Linked DNA regions of Notamacropus eugenii. The protein of the gene in region 1 interacts with the protein of each later gene in a biochemical or structural test. Links are inferred from orthologs where the notes say so. Each region holds a gene or a part of one and is shown in the gene's direction. Other genes may lie near its edges.

Evidence for each region. The genes of interacting proteins can lie anywhere in the genome.
Region 2: of the proteins of AKT1 (region 1) and CDKN1B, one has a biochemical effect on the other in vitro, tested with the Homo sapiens proteins (2 studies listed by BioGRID). The link is inferred for Notamacropus eugenii from reciprocal best matches to the Homo sapiens genes AKT1 and CDKN1B.

Annotation. Positions count from the first base shown.
Region 1 is NC_092872.1:346,211,369-346,218,394, forward strand, and holds the start of AKT1 (RAC-alpha serine/threonine-protein kinase), read left to right. Parts: upstream 1-3,960; 5' UTR 3,961-4,081; intron 4,082-4,983; exon of another isoform or gene 4,984-5,092; intron 5,093-7,026. UniProt on the Homo sapiens protein: AKT1 is one of 3 closely related serine/threonine-protein kinases (AKT1, AKT2 and AKT3) called the AKT kinase, and which regulate many processes including metabolism, proliferation, cell survival, growth and angiogenesis.
Region 2 is NC_092874.1:198,276,287-198,283,706, reverse strand, and holds the start of CDKN1B (cyclin-dependent kinase inhibitor 1B), read left to right. Parts: upstream 1-4,399; coding exon 4,400-4,877; exon of another isoform or gene 4,878-5,487; coding exon 5,488-5,609; 3' UTR 5,610-5,618; exon of another isoform or gene 5,619-5,935; intron 5,936-7,420. UniProt on the Homo sapiens protein: Important regulator of cell cycle progression. Inhibits the kinase activity of CDK2 bound to cyclin A, but has little inhibitory activity on CDK2 bound to SPDYA. Involved in G1 arrest. Potent inhibitor of cyclin E- and cyclin A-CDK2 complexes.

The DNA of each region.
Region 1 (7,026 bases):
AGAAGGAAGAAAAGGACGTGTGTATGATAACTTGAAACCAAGACCGAATGTGAGTAGGGCCACAATAAAATGATAACTTATGTTTTTAGAGTGCTTTAGAGTTTACAAAGCATTTCCTCACCACCCACTTGTGAAATTGGTTGTACCAGTATTATCATGCCCATTTTGTTATTGTTGTTTGACCTTTTACTCTAGGATTTTACAGATAAGGATGCTGACATCCAAAGTTGAAGGGGCTTTCCCTGAAGCTGTAAGCGGTGCTTTCTTTCATATAAGAATACTGCACCCATTTAACTCTAAGGTTTTAAGGAGGGTGACATTACTTCTAATTGGAGGATCCTGTAAATCAGTGGGTAAATAGGTCTCCATTTAAGACAATTCCGTTCATAATGTACCTTTCAAGAATGTACAAATTCAATGAAGATATATTCTGTGCCTACAATACACAAGGCATCTACTGTGTATCAAGTGCTGTGCTATGCACCTGGGACATAAAGGAGAAAAGACAACAGTCTTTACTCTAAAGGAATTTTTATTCTATTGGGAAAACAACACATGCACATTGAAGCCAATACAAAATAGCAGCTGGGGTTATAGGAAAAGTCTCATGTAGGAGGTTCCACATGACTAGAACTTCAAAAGAAACTAAGGATTGTAAGAAGTGAGGTGGGGCTGCATTCCCAGGATGGAATAACAATAATAATAAAAACTAATTTTATATAGTGCTTGGGCAGCTAGGTGACCCAGTGGATAGAGTGCTGGGCCTGAAGTCACAAAGATTCCTCTTCCTGAGTCCAAATCTGGCTTTAGCTGTGTGACCCTGGGCAAGTCACTTCACCCTGTTTGCCTCAGTTTCCTCATCTGTAAAATAAGCTGGAGAAAGAAATAGCAAACCATTTTAATATCTTTGTCAAGAAAACCCCAAATGACATCAGGAAGAGTTGAACTTGACTGAAATTATTGAGTGCTTACTATATGCCAGGCAGTGTGGTAAGTGAGTTACATTTATCATCTCATCTGATCCTCACAGCAACCCTGGGAGATACACTATTATTATAATATCCATTTCTATGGATGAGGGAACTGAGGTAAATGTTAGTGTATGACTCCAACTCAAGTCTTTCGGATTTCAGGCCTAGCACTCTCTCCACTTCAAGGAGATGGGAAATGGAATGTTGTGTACCAGGCATAGTAAGTAAGCCTGTTTAGCTGTTTCAGTTTCCTGTGTATCCCCCCTATCCGCTAAGAACCTTGCTTTTTATTTCACTGAATGAATGAAGTCTTTCCTCAGAAGCTATTTCTCCAGACATTTGCACCCACTGCCTCTTCCCTCACCTCAGCCACACGTGAAGAGATGGCCCCTTCTCCCTCTCTATCCCATTTTTTTTCTCCAGCAGATTTTCTCCATCATCCATACTCCCTATCTAATCTTCAATCTTTCTCCATCTACTGACAACTTTCCCAATGCTTACAAACACACCCGTCTTTCTTCCATCCTCAAAAGTCTCTCATTTAATCCATCCCTCCCCATTAATAATCATTCTGTCTCTTCCCTTCCCTGGCTAACCTCCTTGAGAAGGTTCACTACAATGGATGCCTCCATTTCCTTTCCTCTCACTTTCTTCTTCTTCTTTTTTTTAAAGAAGTCGTGATTATTTAAATAGTTGGCAAAAACAAAACAAAAAAAGCAAAAGCAAACAAGTTTATGGATCTCAAGTTAAGAAAACCTGCTTGAGACACATTTTATTCTCATCACATCCCTCTCCTAAAGAGCAGGAGACCTTTAAGAGAACAGGAGTCGTGTCTTATCTAAACTTTGTTTCTTCTATTTCTAGTGTAGTGCTCAATAAATATGTATTTCTTTAAAACTTATTTATTAGAATTCATTTTTTAAAACTGAATTCCAAATTTGGTCCCTCCCACCTTTCCCCCCCTCCCTCTTAAGAAGGCAAAAAATGCAATATCAATCATACATGTCTCACTTTCTTCTCAACTCTCTGCAGTCTGGCTCAACCAAAATGCCTTTCTCCAAAGTTACCAATGATCTCTTAATTGACAAATGTAACAATCTTCATGCTTCATGACTTCTCTGATGCGTTTGACACTGGCTTTCACCCTCTTTTCCTGGATATTCTCCTCTCTCTAGGTTTTCATGACAAGTCTCTTTCCTGGTTCTCCTCCCACCTGACTGATTGATCCTTTTTCATAGCTTCTAGTTAGTAGCACTCAGTTAGAAATTACCATGAATTGTTTTGTCTTTCATGGATAAGTCTCTTCCTCACCCTTAGACTGTGAGTTCTCCTGAGGACAAGGTCTGCCCAAGATTATTCCTTTTCCGTCTCCCCTATATATCTGAACTGAACATAGTACCAGCATCCAGGGGCTTAGGTCATATCCTTCTCTCCAGTGAAAGGGCAGAAGACAGAAAAGACTGGTCCAGGGGTCCACTGCCTTGTTCCTGAGTCTCCTTTCCCCCCTGCCTAAACCTTAGGTTCAGTCCTTGGTGTCAGTTTAGTCTCATAGCTCAGGGGTCCAATGGTGTTGGCTCCATTAGCTAGCCAAATAAGTTCTCTCCCAGTCTTCTTTTTCTGGAGCATCTTGCTTATAATAGAAATTCTTACTCTGGCTAGGCTGGGTCATTCTCAGAGCCAGGTCGAGCAGGGACTTTCTTAGAATGGGTAATAGACCTGTATGTCAATTTTATCTTCACCCTCATCAATCTGGAAGTGCCATGAATCAGACGTAGGGAATTCTGCATTTCCCAGCTTTTTGCCAAAACATTCCGGTCCTGGTGTGGGTGGGGAAACTGTATAATTATTCTCCTTCCCCTGGAAAACAAATGGTTTTCAAAGTCTAGCTTTGTTACTTATTACCTACGTGGCCCTGGGCAGGTCACTTAAACGCTGGGCCTCAGTTTCTTCACCTGCAAAATGGGGCTAATAATAGCAATGATCTCCTGGGACTGTCATGAGGATCCAATGAGATGATTGATTACAAAGCGTCTGGCCACAGCAGCAGCTATTTTATTACTTGTAAAAAGAGGGGGCTATCTAACAGAGGACCAGCAAGCTTCTTTTCAGTTCTAAATTCAAATCTAAAACAAACTTAGGGCTAAAAGCTGATGAAGATGGGAGTAGACAAGAGGAAGGAGTGGGCTTTACTCCTGTTTAACCTTTCAGACTCAGTTCCCTCATTTGTCAAATGAGGGGCTTGGGCTGGATAATGGCCAAGGTCACAGTCTGTGTTCCTAAGACCCCGTAAGGGGAGGAGGAAAAGGAGGAAGGGAGAGCGGGGAGAAGAGAGCGAAGAGGAAGGAGAAGAGGATGAAAAAGAGAAGGGAGACGAGGAGGAGGACGAGAAAGGGAAGGGGGAGGAGGGAAAAGAGGAAGAAGGAGGCGGGGAGGAGCCGGGCGGATGTTGGCTGCATAGTTGGGGGAGGGCGGGGAAAGGGGAGGGCGGGCGCGCTAGCCGGGGCGGTGTGTGTCTGTGTTTGTGAGTGTGTGAGTGTGGGGGAGCGTGTGTGCAGGGCAGCGTGAGCCCGGGGCGCCAGGGCGGAGGAGGAGCCGGACGCGCTGGAGGGATCCGGAGGCCCCGCGCCCGGACTCGCGCCCCCCCCTCGCCCGCCCGGGCCGCGGTAGCCCCAGCCCAGAGCGCTGCAGGCGGCCGGGGGGTGGCTCTCCGGGCCGCCCCTCCCTCCTGCCCTCCCCGGCCGGACCCTGCGCCCCCAGCGCGGCCCAGCCCCCGCCCGGCCCCGGATCCGGCGGGAGGAGGAGGAGGAGGAGGAGGAGGAGGGGGAGGGGGGAGGAGGGCAGGCTAGCCGGACTCGGCAGCTGTAACAGCGGCTGCCACAGCTGGATCCCCGGCCCGGCCAATCCCGGCTGCGGCGGCGGCGGCGGCGTCCGGGGCCCGGGAGGAGGGGAGGAGGGAGGGGAGGCGCCGCGCCCCCCGCCCCCAGCCCCCCGCCCCGGAGCGGACTGGCATGCGGAGCGGGAGGCGGCCCCGGCCCGGCTAGGCCCGCGCCCCGCCAGCGGCACAGACCCCCCCCTCCACCCGGGGCCTGGCCAGGCCCGGCTCTCCGCAGGTAAGCGCGCATCCCGGCCGAGCCGGCGGCCTGCGGGGTCGGGAAGCCCGTCCTCCTGCGCCCCAGGGCCGGGAGAGGGGGGGCGCATGGCGCGGGGGCGGGGGTCCGGCCTGGTGCGCCCGGGCGCAAGACCCGCGGCACGGCGCGGCCAGGGCGCGGGCGCTTTGTTCCACGGGGTTGCGCCCCGGGACGTGGCTTTTTGTGTTTCCTTTTGTGCAAAAAAAAAAAAAAAGGAAGCGGGGCCGGGCTGGCTGCCCTCCCGCCTCTGCCCGCCTCTCCTCCCCGACCTTCTCTCCTCTCCCCACCGCCGCCGTATCCTGCGATTAGCGAACAGGAAGCTGTTGGCCGCCCCAAGCCAGCCGGGCCCCGGAGCCCAGACCTGCGAGCGCAAGGCTCCTGGCGCCCTCGGCCCGCTGGCGGGGGGCGTGGCGGGGCGCGCCGGGGCTGGGGGCCGGGAGCGAGCCTGGGCCGGCCGGCGTGCCATCCCTCCCCTCCTCCCCCCGGGAAGGGACCCGGGGGCACACATCCTGAGGTGCCCACCTAGGGAGGCGTGGGGCTCCCGGGGAGCTGGGCCACACCGGATTAGCCACCCCAGGGGAGCCCCTGCCAGGGCTTGGGGAAGATTTGCTCCTCGAAATCCCCGGCATCAGACTTTGCTGGACAGCCCTGGGTGCTGGTCCCATCTCTCGTGTCTCTTCTGTGTGACCTTGGGCAAATCGATTCACTTGTCTAGGTCTGTAAAATTCAGTTCTGCAAATGTGAAGTGCCTGTTGTGGGCAGGACCCTGCGGTTGACACTTCGAATACAAAGAAGCCTGGCATGCCCTTCTCTCAGGAAGCTTGCAGTCTAACAGAGGGAAAAGACTTGTCTCCAAATAATTGATTCAAGAGAGAATATGACGGGGCTTTTCAGTCTAAAAGGCAGAAATTGGAAGAGGGAGAGATGACTTAGCTGAGGGGTGGAGAACGGCTTCATGGAGGGGACAGTAAACAGCTGGAATTAACTGTAGAGGTGAGATTCCTGGGTGGGTAAATTGGGGCTGGCCTCTGGTGGCCCTTGACTGGCAGGTCTTTATTTACTAGGCTGTGGGGAGAGGAGGATTCACCGCCTTGCCTCCTATTGTGAGGATTTAATGAGAGAATGGAAGGGAAAGTGCTTTGGAAGCTATAAAGCATCTTGTACCTGTGAGGAAGGATTATTTTTGTCGTTAATGTATTCACTTACAATATGACCTTTCCTCAGTAATTACCTTTCTCCACCTCAGTTTCCTCATCTATCAGCGGGGGGTAAATAGAGTCCATTATTATTATGTGGGGTGGAGGGGATAGGCTGGAAAGAGTGCTTGTTGAGGAATTAAGAAACTTGTTTTCAGCCCAGCTACCACCTTGGCCAGTCACAGCGCTCTGTGCCAGTTTCATTAGTTCTAAAAGAGGATCATCCTTTAGATTGTGAGAGCCATTGCTTGAAGTACTTTGAATGAAAGACTGCCAAGATCTGGGTTCTAATCCTGCCTCTTGACACATGCTCATTGTGTGATCACAAAGCCTAACTTCTCACTGCCTCAGGCAACTGTCTTCAACTGTAAGTTACCAAGGAGTTGCCAGGTTGCACACTGATGAGAAGGTTGGTTGTGTGGGTGTGTGTATTTGGGAAAGACATGAATAACTTGGTGGTTCTTAAGACACCTATCCTTTCTGAACTATTTCTTTTGCCATTCCAGCTGTTGTCGGTCTGTGAGCTTCATGAGGGACTCATTTAAGTTCATATCTCAGCACAGACCACAGGATTCTTTCCACGTAGCAAGTTTTTAATCCTTGTTGTTTGATTTTGAATTTATAAAGCCGCTAGTCTTTTGAGGGCAACTTTGGGGTCTGCACAGCTCCAGGGAAGAGTTGGGAGATTCTCAGTTTCTACTAATCTCTAGGTCCCATCAAGCTTGTTCTTGAAACCTGGAAAATTTCACACCTTCATCCTCACCCTTTGAATGGTCTTTAATGTGTTTAGGTTCACAAAGCACTTTCTTCACAACTGTGCTGTAAGCAGTCTAATTTTACAGATAAGAAAACTGAGGCCTAGAGAGGGGAAATGGTTTGTCCATGACCACAAGCTAGCAAGTGTGCTGTGCTGCCTTACTCTGCATTGAGTTTGTGTGTCTGGTTCTGTGCTCAGCTCTGACCAGGGGAGAGATCAGAAGGAGAGATGTGATCTGTGCGTCTGGGCATTCTGTCTGGAGACTGCCTTTGTAAACAATATATGATGCAAGATCATATGTAAAACGGGACTTCAGAACTAGTGCACTTGGTCAGGAAGGGAGAGGTCAGCACAAGTTGTAGTAGTCTAGAAGGGCTTCCTGGAGAAGGTAGGACTTAATAACAATAACTGCTAGCATTTATATATAGGGCTTTAAAGTTTGCAAGGCATCTTATAATAAATATACAGATGCTGGGCCTCTTGAGAGTTCGACCAGTGAGTGGGACAATGTTTGTTTCTAGTCCCTTGGTTTCCCCAAATGCTTTCCTACCTATTACTTCATTCAACTTTTACCGTAAGAGGGGGTGGGGCAGGCTTTATTATTTCCTTACCTTTTTACAGGTGAGGAAACAAGTCCACAGTGCTTGTGACTTGCCTAGGGTCGCATGGTGAGCTAGGTTCTGCCCAAAAGAGGCCTTCAGCTGTTTGGAGAGAATGCCTCTTGATTCTAGGGTGGCTCAGGGTGTAGACTAATTTTAAGGGAATAACTTTTTGGCGTGTTTGGATTTTGTGTCTCACCCCCCACCTCTGATGTCCATGCAATTATCTGCACTGGGTGAGACTTGAGTGTTTCTGGGTGGGGGAGTGCCTCTCCTTTTTCCCCTCCCCTTCCCGCAGGGAGCCAACGACAGGCCTTTGGTACAGTTTTTTTTCTCAGTCCTCTCCACCTCTCTTATAGCTTTTGAACACTGATC
Region 2 (7,420 bases), on another chromosome or scaffold:
CTCCTCAGCAGTAGGGACTCCAGGCATCTGTCTGTCACTAAGGCTGCCAATGGAGAGTACTTTTGTTCAGGATTCCCCAGAACTGTCTTTACCTTGTGGGGCATGGGACAATCTAAGAAGTGTCTTAAGAGCTTTATGTTTCTGTACCTAGGTTCCTGTTAATCTTTTGCATTTTAAGAATTTTATGTAGAGGGTGAAATAAAGGTTGTCCCATATTCAATATCTGTGTTTCATATTAAATGCTATATAAGACTAGGGGACCCTTGCCTACGTTTGAGGAGACACTGAGTGAGCTACACTTAAGCTTTCTTCAGATTTTTCCCAGAGTAAAAACTCCAGCCTGAAGGCAAAGAGCAATAATGGCTCCTTTGGGATCAACCCTCCCCCCCCCCCCCCCCCCTGCACCCCCTCCCCATCAGACCTGGGTTTATGTGAACCTAGAGTCCCTGAGACACATGGAAGTCACTCTGGACTGTTTTCCTACAAAGTATTCTCCTTTTTTCCCTTTTCCTCTTTAGGGAGAAGAATAGTACTCTGAACATTTCAGAGTCCCTTTTCTTAGGAGGTCCATAGTATTTTTAAAATGCTCCTATGTTTCTATAACAGACGCCTTGGCTCTTCATATTGGCCACACAGATGTGTGTGCCTTGACTTTAAAAAACACTATTTTATAGAGTTCTCCCAAAGATGCAACCTTTCTGTAGGCTGTTTGAATTTCTTAAGGTGGAATGATCCTAGTTTGAACTTTTAGAGACTAACTACAATAGACATGCTAATTTCAGAAATGAAGGGGCAGAAATATTATGAATACAACCATTATTAAAAATATCTCCCAAAGAAACAAACTAAAAGAAATTGTAAAAGTTAAAATATATTTACCACCCTTAGAAAAGGAGCAAGGACAAAAGATTAGAATTACCTTGGTTTCTTGGATGATTTCTTCAGGTTTTTTTTTTTAATTCACATGCAACAGTAGGTGACATGGTTGGCCCAGACTATCAAGCTCCATCCTCCTGACCTTTCCAGTCTCTACCAAAAAGTTTCTGAGACACAGACAGAGGGAGAGGAAGAGGTGGGCCTTGAGACAGTGAAGGCAGTAGATTCTGAAGATTTTCTGCATACAAAGAATGAACTCTTCTTTGACAACAAACGGGTAGAAAACTCTCTTTAAAAACCACATCTATCGCTAAACTGTGCATACTCTTTGACTCAGAAATACTTCAAATAGACATATATCCTGAAGAGATAAAAGAAAGATGAAAAGAATTCATATGTACATACTCATAGCAGCACTGTTTTTGTAGCAGTGAACTAGAAGCCCATCAGTTGAAGGAATGGTTGAAGAAAAATCCCTTATAAGTATAAATGCTATCAAGTCATAGGAAATGATGATCTGGAAGGATTCAGAGAAACTTACCAAGAGATATGAACAGATGCAGAGTAAAATAAGCAGTACGAGGACAGCAATTTAGGTGGTAACTATAAAATTATAAAGAAAAACAACTTTGAAGGACTTGACCAACTATAACTCCATAAGACAGAGGATGAAATGTGCCTTCTGCCTTTTGACAGAGAGGTGAATGGATTAGAGATACAGAAAGGCACACAACATTTGCAAACACCTTCAATATCTGTTTTGGTTGGATCTGTTTTGTTATACTAGGCCAATGTATTACAAGGGAAGGTTTTAATTTCTTTTTTAGGGGAATGTGGAGTGCAGTGACTAGTGACTAGTGACTAGTGTTAACAGGGCTCTCCGAAAATGAAAGACAAGAATGTCAATCAATAATTTGATATGGACAAGAAAAGAACAGAAGGTTTAGAAGGACACATAATCAGAACAGCTTTTGGAAGTAAGGTGATGACCCAACCCATGTATATTTGACTCATGGTTTATAAGCAATGTTCTTTTTCTGTTTTTCTTTGCATAAGGAAATGTTGAGGTTTGTTGGTGTACATCAAGTATGGAATAAGAACAACAAAAAAGGAAACATTAAGCATGTTTAGAAATTGGCAAGAATTTCTCCTGTCCTCTGTCACTGACTCCTACACCTGTTATTTGGGTGTTGCGTTGTTTCTTTGGCATTTCCTTTCTACTTGAACTGCTGATCTATAATCCTCAGAATCATAAGATGTTATCTTGAAGGCCATCTACAGAACCACCTCTCATTATAGCGAAGAAGTAATCAGTACTCCATGCAAAATAAGCCAATCTTTTCTGTGCTAGAGGGAGCAAATGCTCCCTCACATGCTCCCTCCCACCTCCCTCTCCAGAGGAAAAAAAAGGCCAAACAATGTCCTCAGGAAAGAAAAGTCGGGGTCAAATCATTGGAAAAATTCAAGCATCAGACACACCTATGACTGGCCACAAGTTTTACATCAAACCCTCCAAAAGCAGGCTTAAAACCTGATACTACCCTACAGTTGAAGGAAGGCAGCCTCCAATAATACTGAAATGCACTACTGGCCCATATGAAGAAATCTGTATATGGAGTGGAGGCACTTATACAAAACCTCTTGCTTTGTAATCAAATCTGGCCTCGGTCCCACCTTCCCCCTACCCCCCTCCATTTTCCTGTTTTAACTTCCTGAGCACTGTTGGGGAAAAAATGTTGATTCTTAGCTCCAGTGTTGCAGAGGGTAACAGACTGGGAAAGTATCCAAATCATCGCTAGTTCAGATGAGTTGACATGGCAGTAGAAGTTTCATAATTATTCCAAAAGACACGTCCAATGAGAATAATATGCACCTTAAAGTAATTTGCAGGTTATCACTTCACTTGCATCTGAAATTTGTATCCTGGGTGAGCTGCTGCAGATAGTGAGGGTTAGGGGGGAGGGGCGGTGATACTGAGAATAGGGAAAAGAGAAAGATGAGGGAACAGTTGATGGAAGAGAGGATGTTGTTTGCTAGTGGCTGGTCTCAGGTGGAAGAAATTGCTACAGCCAAACGGTTGAAGAATTTAAAGAGACAGAAACAGGTTTCTACATTTATGAGAACATCGTTTTTCCTGGACTCTAGTAGGGAGAGCAGCAAAACCTTTGATTCTGGGATTAGCTCCAGATGATTCTTACTCGACTCTTTTTATCTAAGGTCGTTTCCTGGCTTTTGTTCCTTTTTCCTATACATGCACTTCTAAATACTCTAGTCATCCAAGCTCTGCTCGCTACCCCTGACTTTTCTGGGAAAAGTTGACTCCTGTTTACTGCCCTAACCCCTTGGCCCCTCCGCTCCTTATCAGGCTGCTCTGGAAGGGAGACGTCGGTACAAGCTACGGAGCTTTCCAGCTGAGCCTGAGCGCCAAGCCGGCTCACCACCCCAAGTTCCGCGCCCCGTCGCCTCCCCTTCCCTCCAATTCTGGCCGGCGACTTTCACAGCCTTTAGGTTTTCTGACCTTCGCAGCCCAAGCTGGCGGGGGTACCACGGAGCAGGATGAGCAGATCTTTTAGGTACCAAGCAAACTGTATGGAACCAGCCTCCTTCCTCCCCCCGCCGGTGAGACTAGGAAGAGCAGGATCCGAAACGAGAAGAGCTGCGCCCGCCCAACTCCGTGAACTGCCAATTTATGCTATTTATTTTTGACTTTTAATTTCTCAAAGACTAGCCTGAGAGCGTTGCTTACTCCAGACCCCCCTCGCCCCCCAGCTCCCACCCCCGATACCTCGCGATCGCACAAGTCTCATTCCTCTGCTTTGCAAACCAGCACGATTTCGGTAGCGTCGAGAGGTATCTGGCAGAACTGCGCCCGGACTACCTTAAGGCAAAGCGCCTAAACGCAGCGAACCAGCCTCCGCGGGGTGGCTCCCGAAGCCACAGCCAATGGCTCCCCTTCTCTGTTTAAATAGATTTGCAATGTCAATCATTTTCTCCTTCTTCAGCCTCCCTTCCACCGCCATATTGGGCAACTAAAAAAAAGTGCTCGGCTTTTTGGGGTGTCTTTTTATATTCCTTCCCTTTCCCAGTCTCTTCCTACACCACGACTTTTGAGATCAGCCAGGTGTTTTTGTTTGGTTTTGTTCTGTTGTTTCCTCCGCGGCTCGGTTTGGGAAACCCACAGGCTCTTACCGGCTGGGTCTTGGACTAGCTTTTCCAATTCCCCCCTCCCCTCCCCTCCCCTCCCTTTCTCTCCTTTCCCCCCCTCCCTCTCCCTCCCTACGTCCCTCCCTCCCTCTCTCCCTTACACTTGATCTGCTGGGAGACTTTTCTGCTGGCTCTCCCGGGCTTCCCCCTGCCCCCTCCCCCAAACCCAACACTGATCCTAAAGCTTGTGTAATTATTGGTGGTTGTTTGTTTCCCTTGGCCCCGAAAGGGAATCGCGGGACCTATATAAAAGGGGCTACGTGTTCGGATTTTTTTGTTGTTGTCGTTTTTAAAAGTTGAGTGGAGACGAGGGAGGACGATGTCAAACGTGCGTATTTCGGACGGGAGCCCGACCCTGGAGCGGATGGAAGGCAGGCCGGCGGAGTACCCCAAGCCTTCAGCTTGCCGAAACCTCTTCGGCCCGGTGAACCATGAAGATTTAACGCAGGACTTAAAGAAGCATTGCAGGGACATCGAGGAGGACTGCCAGCGCAAGTGGAACTTCGACTTTCGGAATCACAAACCCCTGGAGGGGAGTTATGAGTGGCAACCTGTGGAGAAAGACAGTTTGCCCGAGTTTTATTTCAGGCCCCCGCGGAACCCCAAAGGGAGATGCCAGGGGCCCGGCCAGGAGAGCGGTGATCTCAACGGAGTGCGCCAAGCGGGGTTTTTTATTGCTTCTCAGGGAATCTCAGAGGACACCCACTTAAGAGATCAAAAGACTGAGGGTGCATCCGAAAGCCAGACGAGTTTGGCAGACCAGTGCACTGAGACGAGGAAACGACCAGCCACGGATGGTAATCGCTCCTTTAAAATTAAAATAAAACAAACCCCTCCCTTGTTTACTCGGTCTGTCTGGGCCACTCCTTGGCTTTACTGGAGGTCCGTCCCCGAAGTTGTGTCTAGAGAACACCAGCTCAGTTCTTGGCTTTTCCATCGGTAGCTGAAGCTATTAACCTTACGCTCCGGTGCTCTCATCTAACTAGTTATCATTTCTTTTGAGTTAAGGCTACTAGTTGTGTTTCCTGCCAGTCGGTGTAAAAATTTATCTGTAAACTTAACGTTTAAAACCCACCGCCTTCCTAAAACACCTGTCCCCTCCCCCAGTCTGCCATCATAAGGTATGTTAGTCACCCAAACTATTATCTTGCAGCTAGGATGTTCCTAATTATCCCTTGGGAAAGATTGCGCTATGTTATCCCTCGATAGGTACCGGGGTCTTGGGAGCAGGTCTTTGTTAATAGCAACAATATTTTCAGGATTTTAATACAATCAGATTGCTCCAGGATTGTGGGTGGTGGTAGTATTTCCCCCCTCCCTTCCCCCGGCTAACTTTTGTTAGCTAATGCTTTTAATAAAATCTGTTGCTTGTCTTCCCCTCCTCCTCTCCACAATTTCCCCTGCTAGATGTCTCACCTCAAAACAAAAGAGCCAACATTACTGAAGAAGAGGTCTCAGACACTTCTCCCAATGCTAGTTCAGTGGAGCAGACGCCCAAGAAGCCCAGTCTCAGAAGACATCAAACGTAAACTACTTAGGTGGGTTGCTTAGCTAGGGTTCAGAAATGAAACCAAACTGCACTGCTGGAACTGGTAGTCTCTGCAAACTCCTCAACACATTTTATTTATTAGTTGCCTATGGATAAGAAGTTTGCTAGTTTGTTAAGGGTATTTCAGGCCCCCTTCCGCCCCCTCATACACATTTTGTGAAGTTGAAAGAATAAGGAGTAGGGGAAAGGGTCGTTGAGTTTCATGCAGTTTTCTCCATCAGGCAGATCTTTTCTTGAGACAAATTAAGCAGTTACTCCAGAGTGAAAGATAGCATCCTGGATGAAGACTTATCCTGGAGGTAGTTCCTGGTGAAAGGGAGATCATCCTCTTATGAGCCTTCACAAAAACTTGATTGGAAGATGAGATTTTTTTCAGCCCTAAATAGGGCTGTGGTTGTTCTGTGACCCAGCAGAGGAGTTTGAAGGTTTTATCATTTTTCAGTGGTTTCAAATAAAGGCATTGTGTGGACCCAGAGGGAAGAAGGGGAAACAAATGGTTTCATCTTTTCATTTGAGAATAAACGGAGCTCCAGTGAGTCACAGAAGAGTTTAGAAATAGGATAAAGTGGCATGTGCAACTCATTTATTTTGATCCTTCTAGTGTCACACCACTTCTACTGGGTTTTTGGAGGGTGAGGGAAACATGTTTATGCAGAAGAACACGCAGAATCATTAAAAGTTACTCACAAAGTTTTTCCACAGCTCTGAAGTGCTGCAAAGTAAAAGTTAATGAATTCTGTCCCCCTTAAGCAATCTGGAACATGTCAGCATGTATATGCAAATTGTGCTAGAACAACTCACTATTTGGGTATTTCAAGGGGAAAGGAATAATAAGTATCAGGGCTGGCTAAGGCTGTCTACTTAGCTCTAGGGAAGTGGAGATTTCAATAATATGCTGAATTTGATCAGTTTAGATAGATGGAATAATTCAGTCCTCAAAGCTCTATTTAGGGGGCCTTAATTCTTCAGGCCAGCTAATTCTACTAGTCTACTAGGAGAAACTGAGTCTCATTTCTCCCTATAATATTCTTTATCAGTGGCTGCCACCTGGTAGGTGCACAATAAGCATTTATGGAATGTCGATGGAAACTACAATATAGAGGACACTTTAAAAGTGTGTGAGGGCATGTTTTTATTTCTTAAATTGAAAAGTCGCTCCAGTTTTTTTATGTAAATTAAATGTATATAACCTCCATACAATACAAAATGCCCACTTGCAGGGGCTTGTTGAAAGATGGCTTTATAGAACCTCTCTATACAGTGGAGGAAATTGGATGAAATTGTTGACTAATTCACCTGAAGATGTCAATATCTGCAGTGCTGCCAGGTCTCTTTCATATATCTTTATGTCAGACCCTCATAAAGTTTTGGTCTTGACTTATTCAGCTAAGCAAGACTTCTCAAATTCAAAGAATCTTTAGAAATGTTTACTCAGAGCACTGGCAAACTTAAAACAAACAAACAAAAAAAGCAACTGTACACATATATTCATCACAAGAAACAAGGATAAGCTTTAAAATTTTTTACCCTATTAGCTTAAGAGATAGCCATAAAATATTGCCAAAGGTCTTTTCAGCTGGATGAACTAGCTTAAAGGGCTACAACAGTTTACCTATACCATATTCATTTTGCATCTTCTTAATTTTTTTTGTACTGACCACTTAACTATGTGATTAATTCCTAGTACTCTCCTCTACCAATGTAGATCAACAATATATCTCTGTAACTTATGATCTTAAGAAAAAAAAGTTGCCTGGGGCACTAAGACTTTCAGTGACTTTCAAATCAGAA